Linked DNA regions of Elephas maximus indicus. The protein of the gene in region 1 purifies or fractionates together with the protein of each later gene. This does not show direct contact. Links are inferred from orthologs where the notes say so. Each region holds a gene or a part of one and is shown in the gene's direction. Other genes may lie near its edges. The genes, in order: cytochrome c oxidase subunit 6B1 and CHCHD4.

Region 1 (10,755 bases):
ATTATGGTTCTGGTGAAGGACACTGAATATGGTAGAAGAACCAACAGGTCTGTCTTGGAGGTAGTACAGACAGAATGCTCCTTGGAAGCAAGGATAGCGAGACTTCATCTCATGTACTACGGACATGTTATTAGGAGGTACCAGTCCCTGGAGAAGGACATCATGCTTGGTAAGGTAGAGGGTCAGCAAAAAAGGGGAAAATCCTCAATGAGATGGACTGACACAGTGGCTGCAACATTGGGCTCGAGCGTAACAGCGATGGTGAGGATGGCGCAGGACGGGGCAGGGTTTTGTTCTGTTGTACATAGGGTCACTATGAGTTAGAGCCGACTCGACAGCACCTAACAACAACAACAACCAAATGGACAGAAGAGCAGTGCTCACTCCCCTCAACCCTCCCACCTCCCACCCCACCAACCACCACTCCCCCACCCCCCTTACAAGGGATTCTGGGGAAGGCGTTTAGAGTAGAGCTGCATGGGGGAACAGTTATTAAGATGAAAGGAGAATGGCAACTGGTAAATGATTGAAGCTGGGTGAATATTGGAAAATGTCCCTATAAAGAATTAGGGTATTTTTAACAGTAAATATTATTGACCTATTAATATACCTTGATGGGCTTGAGCAGAGACTCTGAAGCCAGGTTGCCAGATTGAGAAAATAAAAACACAGGACACCCACTTACATTTGAATTTCAGAGAATTAATAAATTGTTAGTATACGTATGTCCTCAATGTTGCATGTGTGTATATGTTGCATGTACACATTTTTGTTTTTTGCGGAATGATCTGAATTTCTTCAAATGTTACATTGTAACACTTCACTCCTGAATACCTCAGTATCCATCTCTCAGTAGAGACATCTTTCCTATCATACTACCACTACCACATCTACGGATATTAACAGTAATTCTGATAGCTCATATTCAATTCATGATCAAATCTCTCCAGTTCTTCCCAACTGTCTGTTATAACACGGAGGGGCATGGGATCTGCAGTGGAAGTAGAAGGAAGCCTGCCTCAATTTCCTGCCTCATAAAATGCTGATAAGAATACTAACTACCTCTTAAGAGGATTAAATGAAGACCCAGCACAGCTGAGCACAACAAGAAGCCCCCCCCGCATAAAATGTTAGATATTACTATTACTTTTGTATTGCTTATACTGTCGATGTTATTATGATTGACATTTCTAGGGAGCAGTCCCCAAACGTCCTCCCCAACACCCTTGGAAGGGCCTGATGGGGTTTCCCGGGTCAGCCTCTCTTCACCCCACCCCACCTCTGTGGATTGTGACGTCGACCGTGGGGAGGGGATGGCCGGAAATCCCGCTTCCTGTTGCAGATAAGCCTCGCTCAGCCCAGCCCACCCCAGACCCTCTCCCTCTACTATGTCGCAGAATCAAGTCCCCCAAAGGGAGAACCTGTACACTGAGCCCTCCCCGCCCCCTCCCGCCTGCCCCCCATCACCACGTAGGGCTCCCCACTCCCTCAGCCCGCTGTTCCCGAAGACCAGGTCCAGGCCCAAGCTGCTCCAGCTGCAGGACAGCCCCAGCGACTCGGGGGGGTGACAGGCGCCCATCCCTGAGGCTGGGGGGCGCGGCTCCGCCCTGCCCCTGCAACTCGACCCCGCTGCAACCCCCAGCTCTGACGTCTTGGAAAATTCCCCCCTGCCCCGGCCCCCGGGGAGGGGGTCCATGGTATGAAATGGGGCTGAGACCCCCGGCTGAGGGCAGAGGGACCTGCCAGAGGTGAGCGCAGAGCTGGAGACTGGGTGAGGAGGGGCTGGGGGTCCTGAATCCTGGGTCTGAGAGTGGGGAGGGCTGAAAGCTAAGTCTCCAAGATCGTGGGGAAGGAGGGAGCAGGGGCCAGGCCCCCTGGGTCTGAGGCAAGCCAAGGGTGGGGGTCCAAACTCCAGGGTCCCTAAGTGCCACCGGCTCAGTGTTGCTCTTTCCCATTTTCCTGGCCCGGAACATTCAGAAGGAACATCCATGGATTTGTCGAACTGGGATGGAGCATCACCACAGGAAGTGCCCCCTGGGAACAGGCTCTCAGGGCTGGGTAGGCTGCTGGGGCTGAGGCTGTGGAGAGGAGGCCCAGGTGGGACCCCTGCTGACCCCTGAGCTGGCCTTGACCACTTTATTGCCTGCAGCGGGAGTCGAACTTGGCTTCTATTTCCCTGAATTGGCACGTCAAGAGGACACGCTGACAGCAGAGACATGCTGTAAAGGTGGCTGCAGGCGGGGAAGAAGAGGGCTGGGTTCCTGGGTCTGCTTGAGGTCCTGAGGTCAAGGGAGGAGGGATCCCAGGGTCCTGAGTCCTGGGTCCGGGTGGGTTGTTGAGGGAGGGTCTCTAATCACTACTGACACCCTTCTCTAAACACAGCTACCACCTTGCCCCTCGCAGGGCTCCCACAGTTGGACTGGCGCTCCGCCTTACCCCACCCAGAAGCTCCATGGGGAACGGGTGAGTGTGTGGAAAAGCGGAGGTAGGAGGAAACTGGGGGTCCCAGAGCACCGGGGCTGGAGGCCTAGATTCCCAGGTGGTTGAAGGGAAAACGTGCTGGGACTGGAGACGCCTGTGGCTTCAAGGTGGCATGACCTGGATCCGTGTAGCTGCTCCCTCCACCCCGAGTAACCGGAGCCCGGGCCAGGAGGCGCCGGGGCTGAGACCTTAGACACCCAGACCATCCGAGTGGGCGAGGGCCGGGACACCTGAGCTCCCCTCACTTGGGGTCCGTTCCTCCTTACAGAGCCCGCCCCTCAGGCCCTTCAGTGGCCTGGAGACTGGACGGACCTGGCATGTCTCAGCTCGGACCCTCGGAGTCCCGCCTCCCAGGCCCTGGGCCCAGCCGGCCGCGGCCTGGGCCCCACGCCCTTCGCTGGTTCTGAAGGGGTAGCGGGGCTGAACTGTCCCCCCTCGGCAGGAGCGGCCCCTTTGTGGTCGCCTGCCCAAGCCGCGGGGGGCTCCACCAGCTGGGACTGCTCGATCGGCCCCGATCGCGCCACCTGCCCGGGCCTCAGCCTAGAAACGCGCGCGGACTGTAGCGTTTCGTGGGGCGGGCCTGCGGGCTCGGACTGTACCACCTCCTGCGCCCGGGGGCTGAATGCGGACTGCACCACCCCTTCCGAGCGGTACCAGAGTTCAGGTCGCACCACTTCCTCGGAACCGAGCCAGCAGTCGGATCGTTCCACTTTGACTTGTTACCGCCAAACTAGCCACCGAGGTGAGAGGTCCCCGAGGGAGCCCTGCCTGAGTGCAGCGAGGCGGGGTCAAGGAGTTTGAGGGGGAGGGACCCGGGAAAGGGTGTAAGGGCGGGGCTTAGGTACCCTGGTGCTTGGGGAAAAGACCAGCGTCTTCTAGGGAGCAAGCGGATGGGGGCCCAGTCTCCACTGCACGCCTGGATCTCCAAGGCTGTTGGTTGTTGTGTCCCATCCGTTGATGCCGACTCACAGCGAGCCTACAGGACAGAGTAGAACTGCCCCCTAGGGTTTCCTAGGCTGTAATCTTTAAGGGAACTGGTCGCCAGGTTTTTTCTCCCGTGGAGCGGCTGGTGGATTCGAACCGCCGACCTTTAGGTTAGCAGCCAAGCTCTTAACCATTGAGCAACCACGGCTCCATCTCCGGGGTAGGGAGGCTAAACTCCTAAATCCCCGAGATGGGGAGAAGGAGCGGATGCCTGAGTGTCCAAAGCAGACTCTTGGGTCCCCTATATGAGGGCTCCAGATTCTTGGGGCCTCGAGTTGGTAGGACGCCTTGGACGTCCTAGGTCGTCGATGCGCCACGGCCTGGGGCCCTGAAGCCTGAGTGTTCACGCCTCCTCGTCGCAGGTCCTATTCAGCTGTGGCAGTTCCTACTGGAGCTGCTCCGCGACGGGGCTCGTAGCAGCTGCATCCGCTGGACGGGCAACAGCCGCGAGTTCCAGCTGTGCGACCCCAAAGAGGTTTGGCCGCCCCCCAGCCCCACCTGGCCAAATCCCGCCCTGGTCTCCTTTGGCCGCCCCCAGCCTCGCCCTCACTAGGCGCCTCACAACGCTTGGTGAGCCGGGTCCCGGCCTCTACCCCGGCCACCCGCCTGGGACCTGTCTAACTTTTGTCAGGACCCCACCCCCGGCCTCGCCCAGCCAGGCCCACCCTGCTCCTTCCCCGCCCCCTCTGAGTAAGCCCCGCCTCTGCCCCAGGTGGCGCGCCTGTGGGGCGAGCGCAAGAGGAAGCCGGGCATGAATTACGAGAAGCTGAGCCGGGGCCTGCGCTACTACTACCGCCGCGACATCGTGCTCAAGAGCGGTGGGCGCAAGTACACCTACCGCTTCGGGGGCCGCGTGCCGGGCCTGGCCTAGCCGGACCGCGCGGGGCCCGACTAAGAGCAGTGACCCAATAAAAACATCCCGTCAAACCTCATCGCGTGTGCTGGTCCGCATCCTTCCCACTAACGCTAGGGAGCCTACCTGGGCACCACCACACCCGCACCCTCCCCTTCGTGCTGAGTGTTCCTGAGACACAACAGTGGCCCCAAAGACTGATCCGAAGGGGACCTACTGTGTGTCCGCTCGGTGACGCGGCGTGCCAAGGAATCAGAACCAGCCCCCATGGCCTACAGTGTGCCTGCCCTGTGTTGGGGCGCGTAAAGGAATCAGACCCAATCACTCATGTGTGAGTTTACCTGCTGTGTCGCCCTTGAAGAGGACTTCTGTAAGGGCCCTGGTGGCACAGTGGTTAAGAGCTCCACTGCTAACCAAAAGGTCAGCAGTTCGAACCCACCATGCGCTCCTTGGAAACCATATGGGACAGTTTCAGTCTGTCCTATTATAGAGTCGTTATGAGTCGGAATCAAAGGGTCGGCAGTTCGAATCCGCCAGGCGCTCCTTGGAAACTCTATGGGGCAGTTCTACTCTGTCCTATAGGTTCGCTATGAGTCGGAATCGACTCGATGGCACTGGGTTTGGTTTCTTTGGGGGGGGTATGAGTGTTTTTTTTATGAGTCGGAATTGACTCAATGGCAAAGGGTTTGGTTTTTTGGTTTTCTGAGTCATCAGAAACGAGGGGACGGTTCTGGGCTGAGGAGGATGTTGTCGGGGTCCCTCTGGCTGAATGGGCAGACTGGGGAGGGCAGCAGGTAGCTAGGAGGCCAGAGAATAGGCTACTGCAATAATTCAGGCTGGAGGTGACCGTGGCTTAAACCAGCTACGACAGGGGAGATTCTGGATATGTTTTTAAGGCCGCGATGGAATCATTTCTTCACGGACCCAAACCCAAACCACACGAAACCCACTGCCGTCAAGTCACACTCACAGCGACCCCATAGGGTTTCCAAGGCTGTAATGTTTACGAAAGCCGACTGCCACATCTTTCTCCCGCTGCTGGTTTCGAACCGCCGACCTTTCGGTTTGCAGTCGAACGCTTTAACCATTGCGCCACCAGGGCTCATCACAGCCCCAAGTCACCCGAATCTTTATTAATTGGTGCCTTATGAAGTTTAAAAAAAATTTTTTTTTTTTATGAAGTTTGGAGAAAGATGATGAGCAGGGAGGTGGAGTCTGGGTCAAAACGTGATGAGTAACCCCGGGGGAGAGATTGGTTTGTTTTCAATCTTCTAACAATTGGCCCCTTAAAAATCATCATGAAGGCAGGGACTTTGGTGTTTGTTGTTCAAAAATGTATCCTCAACGCTTAATAGAACTGCATGGTATAGGGTAAGCGTTCAATAAATATTTCTTGCACAAATAAACGTCCTTCCAATGGGATAGCCTTCTCCAGGCTCGTTCTCCAGCCAGCCCCGGGACCCACAACTACCTTGCTGGGGTAAAGATAGGGAGATCATGAGAGCCTGTAAGTGGGTATCCCGAGCCCCAGCTGGGAGCCTTTCCAGGTGCCGCGCCAGCTCACGGTTGGCCTGGGAGTGATGGTGAACAGGCAGTGAGCCCAATGGGAGGGCGGAGCTCCATGGGTGGGCGGTGCCAGAGCGGCTTCCGGGTACCGCCTCCCCGCGGGCGCTCTAGCCGCGCGAAAGACTCCTCAATGCTTCGCCTCGCTCCACTTCCGTCAGCTCTTAATTCCGCTTCCGGTCCGATAGAGGCGTCGCCTTCTGAGGGTCACATTGAGCTGCGAGCGGTTTCAGGGGTGTCTTTAGGTGAGTATGGCGGGCAGGGGAGCCTAGGACCCCAGCCGGGGGACTGAGGAACCAGACCCCAGCTTCCCCGAGAACAGAGGGAGGCTTTCGGCCGGTGACGCCGGGCTTCCCCGTGAGCCTCCGGGGGCCTGTTCTGTGAACACAGCTGACGATTGTGCAGTGTTTTTTTAATGCCAGGCGGCTTTTCAAGCGCTTTGCTTATATTCATTTAATCCTCCCTCCACCCTTGTGAGGTCGAGCCTGGGATGACCGCCTTTTGACAGTGGGGACACTGAAGCTCTGAGATGTTACGGAAGCGACGTAGCGGAGTTCACACAGCGACCAGGATTCGGACCCAGTAGTTGGACTGCAGAGCGCTGGTGGCGCAGGGTTTGCGAGGTCGGCTGCTAACCGAAAGGTCGGCAGTTCGAGCCCAGCAGCCGTTCCTCGGAAACCCTCTGGGGCAGTTCTTCTCTGTCCTGTGGGGTTGCTATGAGTCGGAATCGGGATTTTGGGTGGGTTTTGGTTTAGTGTGTATTGCAGTGCTTTTAATCACCAGGCCGCAGGCATGACCTCCCGGGGCTAGCCTGGACCGCGGCGTGGCTGGTATCCGACCCCTCCTTTTCCTTGGACGTTGGGAAGTCCGCGTCCTCACCCCAGATCCACCGTCATCCAAATATCGATTTGAGATCTCGCCCGAATAAAGCTACTCTTTGTCCCCACGGCTGTGTTCCAGCAGCTGGTGTTTTACATTCCTCTCCGACTTCCTCTCCACCTCCCCTCTCCCGAAGACTGTTGCGATGCTCCTGACCCCTACTGCTGCGCTGGCCGCTTGAATTGAACACCGGTCTGGGCATCTCTCTGCTACCCATGACGCCGCGGATTCCCTGCAATTCAGAGGCAGTTTCTCGCAGATTCCCAGGCGAAGACTGTGCTTCAGCTCTTTAGAGACATTATATCGGAAGTTTTTAACCCTATGTCCGCAGAGTCTATAGAATTCGAGGGATGCTAGCGCTTGAAGAGGGGACAAATTACATCTGTATTTTTAGGAACCTCTGATTCAAATATAGCATTTCCTTCAGTTAGAATGGAGGCAGCAGCCTCCGTAGTATTAACAGCACCTGTATTTTGGTCACCAGTCAAAATCACAGATACTGTTATATCACATTGGAAACCCTGGTGGTGCAGTGGTTGAGCGTTTGGCTGCTAACCAAAAGGTCGGCAGTTTGAATCCACCAGGCGCTCCTTGGAAACCCTATGGGGCAGCTCTACTCTGTCCTGTAGGGTCGCTATGAGTCAGAATTGACTCAATGGCAACAGGGTTTTTTTTTTTATGTCACATTACAGTTGCTGCAGATTTCATAGAATTATCCTTCTCACGTGTGATTCCTTCAAAATCGTGGTTGATAAAGCTGCAGCAAGATATAACTGGTTTTTGTTGTGATTCTATGCAATTTAAAATATATTTAAACACATTCTAAGGAAGGTTTATAGGATTCATCTGGCCCCTGAGGGGTTCACGGCCTCTATGGTGTAGGGTACGCCAGTGGTTGAGTGTAGCACCCCACCATGTGTATGGTGTGTGACCTTGGGAAGCGACTTAGACACTGTCCCCTCGTCTGTGCAGTGGGGACAGTTTCTACCTTACAGAGGGGCTGTTGTGAGTAAAGTGTAGAACGGCACCTGGCATGTGGTAGGCAGTGTATTTGGGGCCAGGCCTGATTTTGCTAAGGAGTAGTCCCCAACTGTGCTGTGACTTCCACACCCAGAGATATGGATTTGTCCTTTCTCTATCCGTTCTGTGTCTGGACCTGGGTGGATGGACATCCCATGCCTAGGCACCCCAGAGTCCCTACCAACACCCACCCCCTCTCCTCCAGGAGTCATCACCATGTCAGAAGACATCAAGAGCAAAATCAAGAACTACCGGACTGCCCCTTTTGACAGCCGCTTCCCCAATCAGAACCAAACCAGGAACTGCTGGCAGAACTACCTGGGTAAGCAAGGTGTGGTGGGAGAACACAGATCTTCCCCTGGTCTCATGCCTCAAGTCCCCCCTTCCCCTTTCCTTCCCCCTTCCCCCACCCTGCTGGGGTCTCCCATGCATCCTAACACTGGTCCTAGCTCCTCTTTTACCTCTGGAGAGCTAGTGCCAGCATGTCCAGGGTCGGCCACGATCACAAACTTTGATTTCTAAAGAATGGACAGCAATAGGTTTGGTTTTGTGTGTGTGTGTAATGCAACATATGTACAGGAAGTACATAAAACAGTGTACAGCTACATGAATAATTCTGAAATGAACCCCCAAGCACCCATAGCCTGAATCGAAAGTGGAATATTGCCAGCACTCGGAACTCCCCTGCCCTCTGCGTGCCCTGTCTTGAACACAGCCCCCTACTCTCCCCACTAGAGGTATGACCCCACAGGTGGCAGTCACAGTTGGGGTTTTATCACCAAGTTTTTAAGTTTCCTTCTCAGTGAGCTTCATACATACTAAATGTATTCTTTGTGTTTGGATGTGTTTATTCACATTTTTAAGATTCAGCCAGGCCGTGGCATGTAGTTTGTTCATTTTTATTGCTCCGCTGTATTCCACAACTTACCTCTTCTCTTCAGGGACACTTGTGTGGTTTCCAGCTTGGGACTCTGAGAATGATGCTGCTGTAGACGTTCTTATAAATGTAACCTGATGCCTGCGTGCAACGGGATGGAATGGAGGGAAATGGAGTGCCTGGAGGTTTTTTTTTTTATGGAATTTCTTTTCATTTCTTTCATTATGGTTGATTTTGTACTTGCTAAGTTTTTGTTTTTCTTATTTTTATTTTTTATTGTGCTTTAGGTGAAAGTTTACAGCTCAAGTTAATTTCTTATACAAAAATTATTATGTGACCCTAGTTGCAATTCCTATAATGTGACAGCACACTCCTCCTTTCCACCTGGGTTTCCCATGTCCATTTAACCAGCTTCTATCCCTTTCTGCCTTCTCATCCTGCCTTTGAACAGAAGCTGCCCGTTTAGTCTCGTGTATCTGTTTAAACTAAGAAGCACACCCTTCACGAGTATTGTTTTATGTTTTGTAGTCCAGTCTAATCTTTGAATGGTTCGCTTTGGAAATGGTTTTAGTTCTGGGTTAACAGAGAGTCTGGGGGGCCATGTCTTTTGGGGTTCCTCTAGTCTCAGTCAGACCACTAAGTTTGGTTTTTTTGTGTGAATTTGAGTTCTGCGCCCCACTTTTCTCCTGCTCCATCAGGACTCTGTTGGGTTCCCTGTCAGGGCTGTATCCGTGGTAGCCGGACACCACCAGGTTCTTCTGGTCTCAGGCTGATGGGGCCTGTGGTTTACGTGGCCCTCTTGTCTCTCGGGCTAATATTTTTCTGTGTCTTTAGTATTCTTCATTCTTTGCTCCAGGTGGGTTGGGACCAACTGATGCATCTTAGATGGCCACTCGCGAGCTTTCAAGACCTCAGACACCACTCATCAAAGTGGGATGCAGACCATTTTCTTAATAAACTTTATTATGCCATTTGGCCCAGATGTCCCGTGAAACCATGGTCCCCAGACACCTGCCCCTGCCAGTCTGTCCATTGAACTGTTTGGCTGTGTTTAGGGAACTTTTTTTAGCTTTTGGTTTAGTTCAGTTGTGCTGACTTCCCCTGTATTGTGTGTTGTCCTTCCCTTCACCTAAGATAATTCTTGTCTACTATGAAACTCTGGTGGTGTAGTGGTTAAGAGCTACAGCTGCTAACCAAAAGGTCAGCAGTTCAAATCTACTAGGTGCTCCTTGGAAACTCTGTGGGGCAGTTCTACTCTGTCCTATAGGGCCACTATGATTCAGAATCGGCTCAATGGCAATGTGTATGGTTTTTTTGGTTTATCTAGTTAGTGAATTCCCCTCTCCCTCTCTCTGCACCTTCGTAACCGTCAAAGAATGTTTTCTTCTGTGTTCAAACCTTTCCTTGAGCTCTTATAATAGTGGTCTCATATAACCTTTGTCCTTTTGTAACTGACTGGTTTCACTCAGCGTAATGCCTTCCAGATTTATCCATGTCATGAGGTGTCTCGTGTATTCATCATTGTTCTTTATCGTTGTGTAGTATTTCATTGTGTGTTAACTGCTTAGTTTTAAAAGACCAGATTATCCGTCCCCCCCTCCCCCCGCCCCCGCCTTTCTCTGTAGGACTCCGGCATCTTAACATCAAGACCTTCTTCCCTTCCACTTGTCTTGGTTCCAGACTTCCATAATCCCCACGCGTCCCTCATGCTTCCTTGTTATCCCTGGCCCCAGAACTCTCAAAGTGCACTGCAGTTCTCAAACCAGTTGCTATCAAGCTGATTCTAACCAGGGCGACCCTGTGTGTTTCAGAGTACAACTGCACTTCATAGGCTTCTCAGTGGCCTCTGGGTGGGCTCAAACCACCAACCTTTTGGTTAGTAGCCAAGTGCATAACCATCCATGTCACCCACAGACTTACAGTTCTCTGTTGTTGTTAGGTTCTGTTGAGTGGGTTCCGACTCATAGCGACCCTGTGCACAACAGAACGAAACACTGCCTGGTCCTGCGCCATCCTTAACAATCGTTGTTATGTTTCAGCCCATTGTTGCAGCCACTGTTTCAGTCCACCTCGTTGAGGGTCTTCCTCTTTCCGCTGA
Region 2 (10,850 bases), on another chromosome or scaffold:
TGGGCCACACAGCTATGAGTGGCGGAGCTGGGAATCATTGCTTTCAAACTGCTCAACCAGACAGTATCTGGTGATGTGGCAGGGCCACTAGCGGGCCACGACCATTGCCAAACCTACCTTGGAAGTCCGCAGGGCCCCTATGATGTGCACCAGCCTCCCCTCGTTCTCCGGAGCCACACTGTGGATGCTGTCCGGGGACACCACAAGCGAGAGCCCCTCAGCCAGGGAGGTCGCCGTCTTCAATGCGCGGCCCTGAGAGCGGAGGAAAGCAGCTAGCACCAAGTCGGGGTGGTTCGAAGCAGTTGTGCTTGCTGCAGACTGTCAGAGCATGATGGGCCTCAGAGAGGCACTGCGACTCTTCCCTCCTTTTTACAGCTAGAAAGCTGAGGCCCAGCAAGCATGCAGATCAGGATTGGAGCCCAGGATCCCTGCTCTTCCAGGCAGACCTCTTCCCATGACTCCACTGGTCCCTACCCCTCCTCTCCTGCCAATCTCAGCACTGACCCCGTGTTAGGAAGAGCTGGCCCCTTTCCCCAATTTCCTTTGTCTTCTCCACCCCTCGCCTACTCTCAGCGCATGTGGTTTACGTAGGCTGATTTGAACCATCATTTAAATCATTTGACTAAGGCCTAGCCACCAACAACCCCCTGGCTACAGGATTTGGTTCAGAGAGAGGACAGAGACCCAAGCCAGGACACTGAGAGCTCTCCCTGCAACTGTGGCTAAACTGATTTAGAAAGACATGGTTCCTCTTTTCTCTGGGGTTGCTAAGCTGGTTGGATGTCCCCCTGGAGTTGCTAGGGCCACCTCTGTCATCATGAAGAATAAGCCTTCCCAAGAACAATGCCATCACAGAGAAAAACTGCTAAGGGATGGAGAAATGAAGATTCCTGATGACCCAGCATGAACACCTGGATCCAACCAGGCCTGAAGCTGGGGCTACTCCCAGGATTTTTAGGCATGTGAACTGATCTGTTCCTTTTCCTGCTTACATCAGTTGTGAGATGGGTCACAACAGAAAAGCTTCTGATGAATTCAGCACCTCTCTCTCTTTTGGAAAATCTGGGCCCTTTATTACCAAATCTAGCCTCTGGATTCACAGCCTTAGCTCTCTGACACCGGCGGGGCGGACCCTCACTTTATACAGTGGGACCCTGAACATTTTACCTCATTGGTGAAAATTATGTAGAAGGACAGCAGGAAGGTCATGAGCCCCACAAACATGCCACCCGAGGTCTTGCTAAGCCGCTCCAGGAAGCCTGGCTGGGGGCTTGCTGTTGTTTTCGTGTGTTCTCTTCTGTTAGCCGTACTGGAGTACTGAGGAAAAAACAGATTTTTAAAAGTCAGAATGAGAGTTAGGTTTTTAAAAAATATAATTGAGTTTTGCTATTTATTTATTTAAACTCAGTTCTTATTGAGATACAATTTTCACACGGTAAAAATGCACAGATATTAAGGGTATAGTTTAATGGGCTTTGACCAATGTATGCCCTATGTGACCAACACCCAGACCAAGATAGAGAACATTCCTATCACCCAGAAAATTCCTTTGTGCCCTTTCCTATCAGTACTCTCCCTACCCTCAGATGAAACAACTCATCAGATTTCTATCACTATAGATGAGTTTTGCCTCTTGTAGAACTTCACATAAATGGAATCATACAGCATGAAATCCTGTCTGTCTGGCTTCTTTCACTCAGCATAGTGCTTTCTGAGACTCATCTGTGTTGCATATCAGTGATTTGTTCCTTTCTTTGGCTGTGTAATATTCTAATGTGTGGACATGCTACAATTCATGTATTCATTCACCAGTTGATGAACACCTGGGTTGTTTCCAGTTTGGGGCTATTATGAGTCATGTGTGGACGTGTGCCTTCATTTCTCTTATATGTTTGTATGCATAAGAGTAATGAAACATATATACATGCATATATGGAAACCCTGGTGGCCTAGTGGTTAAGAGCTATGGCTGCTAACCAAAAGGTCGGCAGTTCGAATCCACCAGGCATTCCTCAGAAACCCTATGGGGCAGTTCTACTCTGTCCTGTAGGGACACTATGAGTTGGAATCGACTTGACGGCAACGGGTTTTTTATATGCATATATATATATGGGAGTAGAACTGCTGGGTCATAAGACAGACGTATGTTTAACTTTTTAAGAAACTGCCTGTTTTAAGAAAAGGTTGTTAGAGATGTATTTTTAATTAAATTCAACAAATAGTGACTGAGCTGAGGGCCATGCATGCTGGGCCTGGTGGAGAGGAAAGAGGGGGAGACAGGCTTATGGGGCAGTCATGTGACAGCCACAAACAATACTAGAAGATCATGCTGATTGAGTGTCCAGTGAGAGGGTGGATCCATGCTAAACAAGTGACCCCTTCCAGCTGGGGGATCAAGGCAGGCTGCCAGGAAGAGGGTACATTTGAGGAGGGTTTTGGAAGGGCATCCCTAGCAGGGAAGCTGTGCAGAAGTGATTCTATAGGAAGAGCTGCCAACCTGCTGGGCCTAGGGCTTTAGGGCAGTGGGGGAGATGCAGGAAGCGAGGCACAGCCAGGCCTCTAAAGCCAGGCTTTGTTCAGGTGATAACAAAAACAAGGTTTGGAGTGTGTTCATAAGCATGGAATCTGCAGGACTGAGTTTGAGTCCTGGCTCTGTCACGCCAGCTATGTGACCTTGGGCAGCAATTTAATCCCTATGTTCCTTCCGTTTTTTTCATCTGTAAAATGGGAACAATAATCCAATGCACTGGGTTCTTGTGAGGACGTAATTAGATGGCTCAGTGACCAGTGTATGGTGAGCCCTGTACAGGTGCTGGCTGGTGGGAGTGTTATCAGGTTTCTCTGTGGTGTCAAGGCTGGGGTGAGCTGACAAAGGTCACCAAGATGTCAAGTGGTTTGCAGATGAGCACCAGGGTGAGCGAGGACCCATCCTGCACTGAGTTGGGTGGGGGGGAGGTGTCAATGGAGAGATTCAAGACAGAATTTCTGCTTCAACAAAGCGGATACCAAGTTCTTCTGCTTGTCCCTGAATGCCACCACCACAGGCTTGTCAGGGACTAGGTGTCCATTGTGTCCAGAAATGGTCTTGACTTTCCATGCCATTTGGAAACATTAGTGGAGTTACTCACCATAACAAAGATGGTAAACATCCCTGTCTACCACATGCCCGTCATGGACAATCCCAAGGCGGTGGGTGCCATCACTACTCCTATTTCACAGATGAGAGAACCAAGGGCTGGGGGTTAAGTCACCTGCCTAGATCACATAGTCAATAAAAGATGGACTGATTTAGGATTCAAATTCAGGCAGACTGGAGGCCACTCTCCTACTGCTCTGCTCCAGACTGCATTCTGCATTTCTTCGGCTGTAATGTGAGTTGAACCCTGGGAGCCAGCCGTGGGCAGTGACGGAAAAGAAGAGAGGGCAGCCCCAGCCTTGGCCTCCCCTCAGCTACCTTGAGAAGCCAGTATCAAGAGAAGGGGCTCAAAGACGGCCTTGAAGGGAGGGAAAAGAAGCACAGGGGGTCCCCCCAGGCTAGGGTTATGGGTAGGAGGTGACACAACACACACAGTCCGCATTCTGAACTGATATTCCCAGTAAACGTGGAGGCATATTTATCCCCAACGACACATACCCAGCTCTCAGGGCTCAGAGACAACGTGGTAGGAACCGAGATCCACATCCAGGCCTTGGAATAGGACAGAACTGGATTTAAACCTCAGTTCTGCAAATCATGGGCTCTGTGACCCTTGGCTGTTGCTCCACTCTTCTAATTCTGTTTATTCCCTGTCTTAGTCATCTAGTGCTGCTATAACAGAAATACCACAAGTGGATGGCTTTAACAAACATAAATTTATTTTCTCACAATCTAAGAGGCTAGAAGTCCAAATTCAGGGCATCAGCTCCGGTGGAAGGTTTCTCTCTCTATCGGCTCTGGAGGAAGGTCTTTCTCCTCAATCTTTCCCTTGACTAGGAGCTACTCTGCACAGGAACCCCCAGCCTAAAGGACCTGCTCTGCTCCCGGCCACACCCCAGGGAAACTCCCTTTACATTGGATCAGGAATGTGACCTGGTAAGGGTGTTACAATCCCACCCTAATCCTCTTTAACATAAAATTACAATCATAAAATGGAGGACAACCACAGAATACTGGGAATCATGGCCTAGCCAAGTTAATATACATATTTTAGGGGAAACATAATTCAATCCATGACATTCCCTTATAAAATAAGATGGTATAGTACCTCCCTCACAGGACAGTTGTTATATGGCTATGAATTCTGTCACTTTTCTTCTCTGATCCACCCTTCCCTCTTCAGATCTTTCTTCTTCACCAGCCTAGTAAACCAAAAACCAAACCCACTGCTGTCGAGTTGATTCCGACTCCAGCCTGGTAGCTCCTGTAAATGTGCACCCAGCTACTGGATGAATAAACCAAGGCTTGGCTGCAAAGGATAGCTAAGCAAGTCTGTTACCTGACAAAGTGTCTGGTCCCAACATATGTGAGACGGTCTCTGCCCAAACCAGGACAGGGAGATAGACACAGTCCAGCAACTATGAGGACAGAATTTCTTTTTTCCATATATTAAGTACCTACTATGTGCTTTTTTTTTTTTTTTTATGTGCTAGGTGGTACAGTGATTAAGAACTGGGTTGCTAGCCAAAATCCACCAGCCATTACTTGGAAACCGTGCAGGGCAGTTCTACTCTGTCCTATAAGGGTCGCTATGAATCAGAATCAATTTAATGGCAAAAGGTTTATGTGCCAGGCGGAGGCATGGTAGCACAGTAGTTAAGAGCTCGGCTGCTAACCAAAAAGGTCAGCAGTTCAAATCCACCAGCCGCTCCTTGGAAACCCTATGGGGCAGTTCTACTCTGTCCTGTAGGGTCGCTATGGGTCGGAATTGACTCGACGGCAACAGGTTTGGTTTTTTTGGTTTATGAGTCAGGCACTGTGCTGAGCAGTCTGGCTTAAACTTCACAGCAAGCTATAGGAGAGAAACCATTACTGATTCCATTTTACGGACGAGGAAACATAAACCAGAGAGAGTAAGGCCACACAGCTACTGAGCAGAAGAATCTGGATCTGCCCTCAGGGCTGCCTGACTCCAAAGGCACCTCTTCAGCACCTTCCCATGACAAAACCATTCCCTGGAGCAAGTGCCTCTGCCTGCTGGGAAGTTCCACATTGTAAAATATGGTGAGGGGAGGGGCAGCCAAGAATCCACCTACTGGGAGTGGGATGGCCTCCTGGCTGCACCCTCCTCACAGCAGACCCTGGGCCTCTGGGTCTGAAAGCCCACGGACCACCTCAGCTCAAGGCTTCTATCCCCCACACTCCCAGGGCAACACTAACCTGAAGCAGAGCGTGCTAGGGTTGTGGGTGACAAACCCTGGTCTCTCAGGGGGCGTGGGAAGCAGAGAATGCTCAGGGACAGAGAAAGGGTATGGAAAGCGGGTGTAACAAGCCAGGGGACGGTGGCTGGAACACTCCATCAAAACACGAGGGAGGGTGTGTGTGGGGATGGCAGGATGCCCAGGCTGGCTACAGAAGCACTTTCACACAGAGGAGTGGTGAGTCACCAGCTTCTCCCAATCCAGCACCCTGCAGGAGGTGCTGCTCCTCCCTTTGTCGAATGAACGTTGGGCGTAAATAGAAAAGCTCCTGAGAAAGGCTGGCTGCAAAGAGAAGAGGGCAGCCTTTGGAAGGGAACCACCTTCAGCCAAGGCCTCTTTAATCAAATCCCCTCTAGAAGCAGGCGGATCCGGCAGTTGGGAAATGCGCCTTCTCACCATAATCCTAACTCTTGCGCCCCAGCTCAACCCGAGCCCCTTTGCTGCATCACGGCCTCGATGTGCATACATCCCTAGAACGGGGACCTCACTTACCGTCGGGCCAGCCCTGTCCGTTGGTGGAGAGCTCCACTTGGGGCCGGAACGGCCACCCCGCCCTCCCCACAGACAGGCCTCTCTCTGAGGTCCCCTCCAGCTCTCATATTCTGCAAGTTTGAGAACCCCAATTTGCTCACATGGAGTCTCCACGAGTCGTGATCACCTCGATGCTAACTAACAACAAGTGCCCAGGAGGGAACTGGGAATGAAATGTAGGGCCTCAGGTAGGCGCCGCGCTCAACAAGATGCCACTGCCAGAAGCGACACCTCCCGGGTTTCCCTCCCCACAAACGCGCGACCCGAGGATGAGCTAGGCTAAAGAATATGGACAAGCGGAGGATGGAGAGATTCAAGATAGATCAACAGGCTGACGAGCTGCCAGCGGCATGAACACAACCGTGCAGAGGTAGACAGACAGCGGTCAGACGAACAAAAGGAACCGGAGGCCCCTGGGTGACGGCAAGTCTGGGTGTGGCCCGGGTGAGCAGGAGACACTCACGTTCGCGGCCATCGTGGCACCTGGCTCGTCGCCGCCTCCTCGCTCTGCTCAGCTAGAGCTGACAACCGGAATCCAGTGGCCTCTTGCCGGCCGGGAGCTGCAAATGCCGGCGTGGGGTCCAGGACAAGGCGGGACTTGCTACAGAGTTACCACCCCAGGCGCCCCCATTCTTCTGAGCACGCGCGCCGCAAAGCCTCCTGGAAAATGCAGTCCGTGGAAAGCCCGGAGTCACAGGCTTCCGCCACAAAGTTGCAACATGCGCGGAACCGCACTCGTGCGCATGCGCATCGCAGGACTTTCTGGGAAATGTAGTTTCTGCTGCCTGGAAAGGGGCCATGGGACACGCAGCCTCCTGGGAAATGTAGTTCTCAATTGAGGGGCCGGGCTGAAGCTAGGAGGGCGCGGAAGCAGGCGCGCGGCGGGCAGGCCTGGAGGGGGCGGGCCCGCGCGGGCCTCGGAGCCGCCCGCCCTACCTGAGAGGAGGTCACGGCGTGGATCCGCCACCGCCGCTCGGGCTGCGAAGTCTGAGTGCCCGGCTGCCGCCATGTCCTACTGCCGGCAAGAAGGTAGGGAGGACGAGCAGGCTGCCGTGGAGACCGGCCTACGAGGGCCTGCAGGGGACACGGCACCCGGACAGCCCCCGCAGGCCCGGGCGCCCCGCGACCCCACGGCCGGCCCGGCAACCCGAGGCGCAGTCCTGGGCGCCGTCCTCGGGACCCTAGGGGGCGGTCTGGGCGGCAGAGTCTTCACCCCATTCTGCAGATGAGAAAACCCAGGCTCTGGGAGGAACGGGGCTGGTCCAAGGTCATGGAGAGTCTTGAACCCTGGCCTCAGAGGAACCAGCACGTGCGAGATTCATAAACTAGGCCCGGAGGGTGCACGAGAAATGCTGAGCACGTTTCCTGGCCCGTAATTGGGAATTTATTAGTATTAATTATTACAGTCACTCTCACCACAAACCACGTGTTTCCATACTGCATGCGCCTTGTTCCTGTCCCGAAAAGTTGCCCCTCGGGTCAGATGCTGTGCAGGAGTGGTAGAAGTACCCCTGGCGGGAACACTTGTTAGCCCCTACTAACCCTGGTGGTGTAGTGGTTAAGAGCTAGGCTGGTAACCAGAAGGTCGGCAGGCCGAGTCCACCAGGCGCTCCTTGGAAACCCTATGGGGCAGTTCTCTTCTATTCTGTCTTGTAGGGTCCCTATGAGTCAGAATCGACTCGACAACAGCGGGTTTGGTTTTGGTTACTACGTCAGGCACTGTTCAAGGAGCTGTTACATAGTTTATTTCACTGGCCTTTCAGCGATCTAAGTCAGCTCCTGTTTTTATCCCCATTTTACCGAAGAGTAAATTAAGGCACAGAGGGGTTTAAGTGACTTGGCCTAAATCACATGGCCAGTATGTGGTGGAGGTGGGTATGAGCCCTGGCATCTGAACTGCACTATCCAATCTGGAGCCTGGGTTCCCAGGAGCCTTAGGCCAGGAAGGCTTCCCCTCCCCCGACAAGGTGGGTCACCACTCACGCCTTTCTGTTTCCCTGTTGTTACCACTAGGCCAGAGCTTGGAAGGTTAGATGGTACCAGTGCCTCCTCATATGCTACCACTAACTGATCTGCCATCTAATTCCTCCCGGCCCCACTTTCCAGTGGTGTAAAATGAGAAGTTGAGCTTCATTCATTCTGCAAATAATCATGAAACACCTCTGTGCAGGGCCGGTGGACACTTAAGAATATAAAATTCCAGAGAGTCGGAACTCACCCAGAGATTTTTTGGTCAATAGTCCTGTCCCCTCAGTTTAACTCAGGAAACCTGAAGCCCAGAAAAGGGGCTCACCTGTCCAAGGGCATGCAGCCAGTTAGGGGCAGAGCTCCTCGTAGAATGATAGGCCTTTTCCCCAATACCCCAGCCTGCTTCTGGAACTTTTCCTCCTTCCCTGGATCATAAAGCCATAATACTCACTGATGTCTCTAAAAACCCATTGCCATCGACTCTGACTCACAATGACCTTATAAGACAGAATAGAACTGCTCTCTAGAGTTTCCAAGGCTGTAATCTTTGTGGGAGAAGATTGCCACATTTTTGTCCTGCAGAGTATCTGCTATGTTCAAATCACTGACCTTTCAGTTAGTAGCTGAGCATTTAACCACTGCGCCACCAGGGCTCCTTCTAATGTCTCTAATGAGCACTGTTTCCTGCTGATTAATAATTAAGTCTGCCATAAACGAAAGTCCTCTGCCCTAACCAGTTTATGTTAGACAGTAAGTCCTTTGTCCTATTTTTAACTCCCTTTCTCTTAGTCTCAAGTTTACTTCATTTAACAAATCATTTTTGACCCTCTTGGGTACAGTGAGGCTGTGCAGATAAATAACACCTCTTCTGTTCTTGAGGAGTTTACAGCAGTCACAGGTTCTCTGGGAAGGAGGGGCAGTGTCCCTCTGCCACCAAAGCGTGAAGCCCTGTCTTTTCCTGGTTCAGAGGTCTCTCTCTTCCTTAGTTTGGAGATGAGAATTGAAAGTACTCACTTGCAGGCCTGTTTTAGTTGTTACTACAGGTTAAAGGCCTTAGCTTGGTATTCTAGGTGTTTTGCAGTGTGAACTCAGCCTTGCTTTGTGGCCTTGGGCCACCCGTACTTCTCCGTCAGCTCCACACTGCTCCTTTCTTTGGTTTCTTCTCTTCCTAATACTGAGCCTGCCCTCTCCTGTTAAGTCATCAAATATTGAGCATCTGTATGTGCCAGCCATTGGACATATATTAGTGACAAAGGTGACACAATCTGTGCCTTCCTGGCATCTGGTGGAAGAGAGGGGCATTAAAGCACCAACAGTTGTCATTGTTGTTAGGTGCCCTTGAGTTGATTCTGACTCATAGCGACCCTCTGTACAACAGAACGAAACGCTGCCCCAGTCCTGCGCCATCCTCACGATCCTTGTTATGCTTGAGCCCATTGTTGCAGCCACTGTGTCAGTCCATCTTGTTCAGGGTCTTCTCTTTTTTGCTGACCCTCTACTTTACCAAGCATGATGTCCTTCTCCAGGGACTGATCCCTCCTGATAACATTGTCCAAAGTATATGAGATGTAGTCTCACCATCCGTGCCTCTAAGGAGCATCCTGGTTTTACTTATTCCAAGACAGATTTGTTCATTCTTTTGGCAGTCCAAGGTATATTCAATACTCTTCGGGAACACCACCATTCAAGGGTGTCAGTTCTTCGGTCTTATTCATTGTCCAGCTTTTGTATGCATACGAGGCAGTTGAAAACACCACAGCTTGGGTCAGGCGCACCTGAGCCTTCAATGTGACATCTTTGCTTTTCAACACTTTAAAAACATCTTTTGCAGCTGATTTGCCCAGTGCAGTGCATCTTTGGATTTCTTGACTGCTGCTTCCATGGGCATTGATTGTGGATTCAAGTAAAATGAAATCCTTTATAATTTCAATCTTGTCTGCATTTATCATGATGTTGCTTATTGATCCCATTGTGAGGACTGTTATTTTCTTGAGGTTGAGGTGTAATCCATACTGAAGGCTGTGGTCATTGATCTTCCTCAGTAAGTGCTTCAAGTCCTCTTCACTTTCAGCAAGCAAGCCTGTGTCATCTGCATAACACAGATTGTTAATGAGTCTTCCTCCAATCCTGATGTTGCATTCTTCTTCATATATTCTAGCTTCTCAGATTATTTGCTCAGCATACAGATTGAATAAGTATGGTGAAAGAATACAGCCCTGACACACACCTTTCCTGACTTTAAACCACGCAGTCTCCCCTTATTCTGTTCGAATGACTGCCTCTCGATCTATGTAGAGGTTCCTCATGAGCACAATTAAGTGTTCTGATATTCCCATTCTTTGCAATGTTAGCCATAATTTGTTATGATCCACACAGTCCAATGCCTTTGCATAGTAAATAAAATACAGGTAAACATCTTTCTGGTATTCTCTGCTTTCAGCCAGGATCCATCTGTCATCAGCAGTGATATCCCTGGTTTTACGTCCTCTTCTGAATCAGGCTTGAATTTCTGGCAGTTCCCTGTCCATGTACTGTTGCAGCCACTTTTGAATGATACTCAGCAAAATTTTACTTGCATGTGATATGAATGATATTGTTTGGAATAGACAAAAATCCCTGCTCTTGTGGAGCTGATGTTCCAGTGGGGGAGACAGGCAGTAAACACCTAAATGTGTTAGGTGGGGAAAAGTGCTTTGGAGAAAAATAAAACAGGGTAAGGAGATGGGGAAGTGGCCTGGGAAGGGGGCATCTGAGCAGGAGATGTGAAGGCAGGGACAGAGTGGCTATGAGGAGATCTGAGGGAAGACTGCTCCTGGAAGAGAGAACAGCCTGTGCAGAGGCCCAGAAGTAAGAGTGTGCTCAGCAGGTTCAAGTAAAAGCAAGGGGCCAGTGTGGCTGGAGTGGAGGGAGCAAGTGATGGGAGATGGCATTGTAGCGGTGAGGGATGCCGATCT

Evidence for each region.
Region 2: the proteins of cytochrome c oxidase subunit 6B1 (region 1) and CHCHD4 purify together in Homo sapiens (co-immunoprecipitation; 3 studies listed by BioGRID and IntAct, with this or other methods). This does not show direct contact. The link is inferred for Elephas maximus indicus from reciprocal best matches to the Homo sapiens genes COX6B1 and CHCHD4.

What each region holds. Positions count from the first base shown.
Region 1 is NC_064829.1:114,612,798-114,623,552, forward strand, and holds the start of cytochrome c oxidase subunit 6B1, read left to right. Parts: upstream 1-6,019; 5' UTR 6,020-6,126; intron 6,127-7,985; 5' UTR 7,986-7,996; coding exon 7,997-8,102; intron 8,103-10,755. UniProt on the Homo sapiens protein: Component of the cytochrome c oxidase, the last enzyme in the mitochondrial electron transport chain which drives oxidative phosphorylation.
Region 2 is NC_064838.1:39,926,563-39,937,412, forward strand, and holds the start of CHCHD4 (mitochondrial intermembrane space import and assembly protein 40), read left to right. Parts: upstream 1-6,755; 5' UTR 6,756-6,935; coding exon 6,936-6,957; intron 6,958-10,850. Other genes in the region: TMEM43 (transmembrane protein 43), read right to left, coding at 118-252, 1,168-1,317, 6,392-6,403.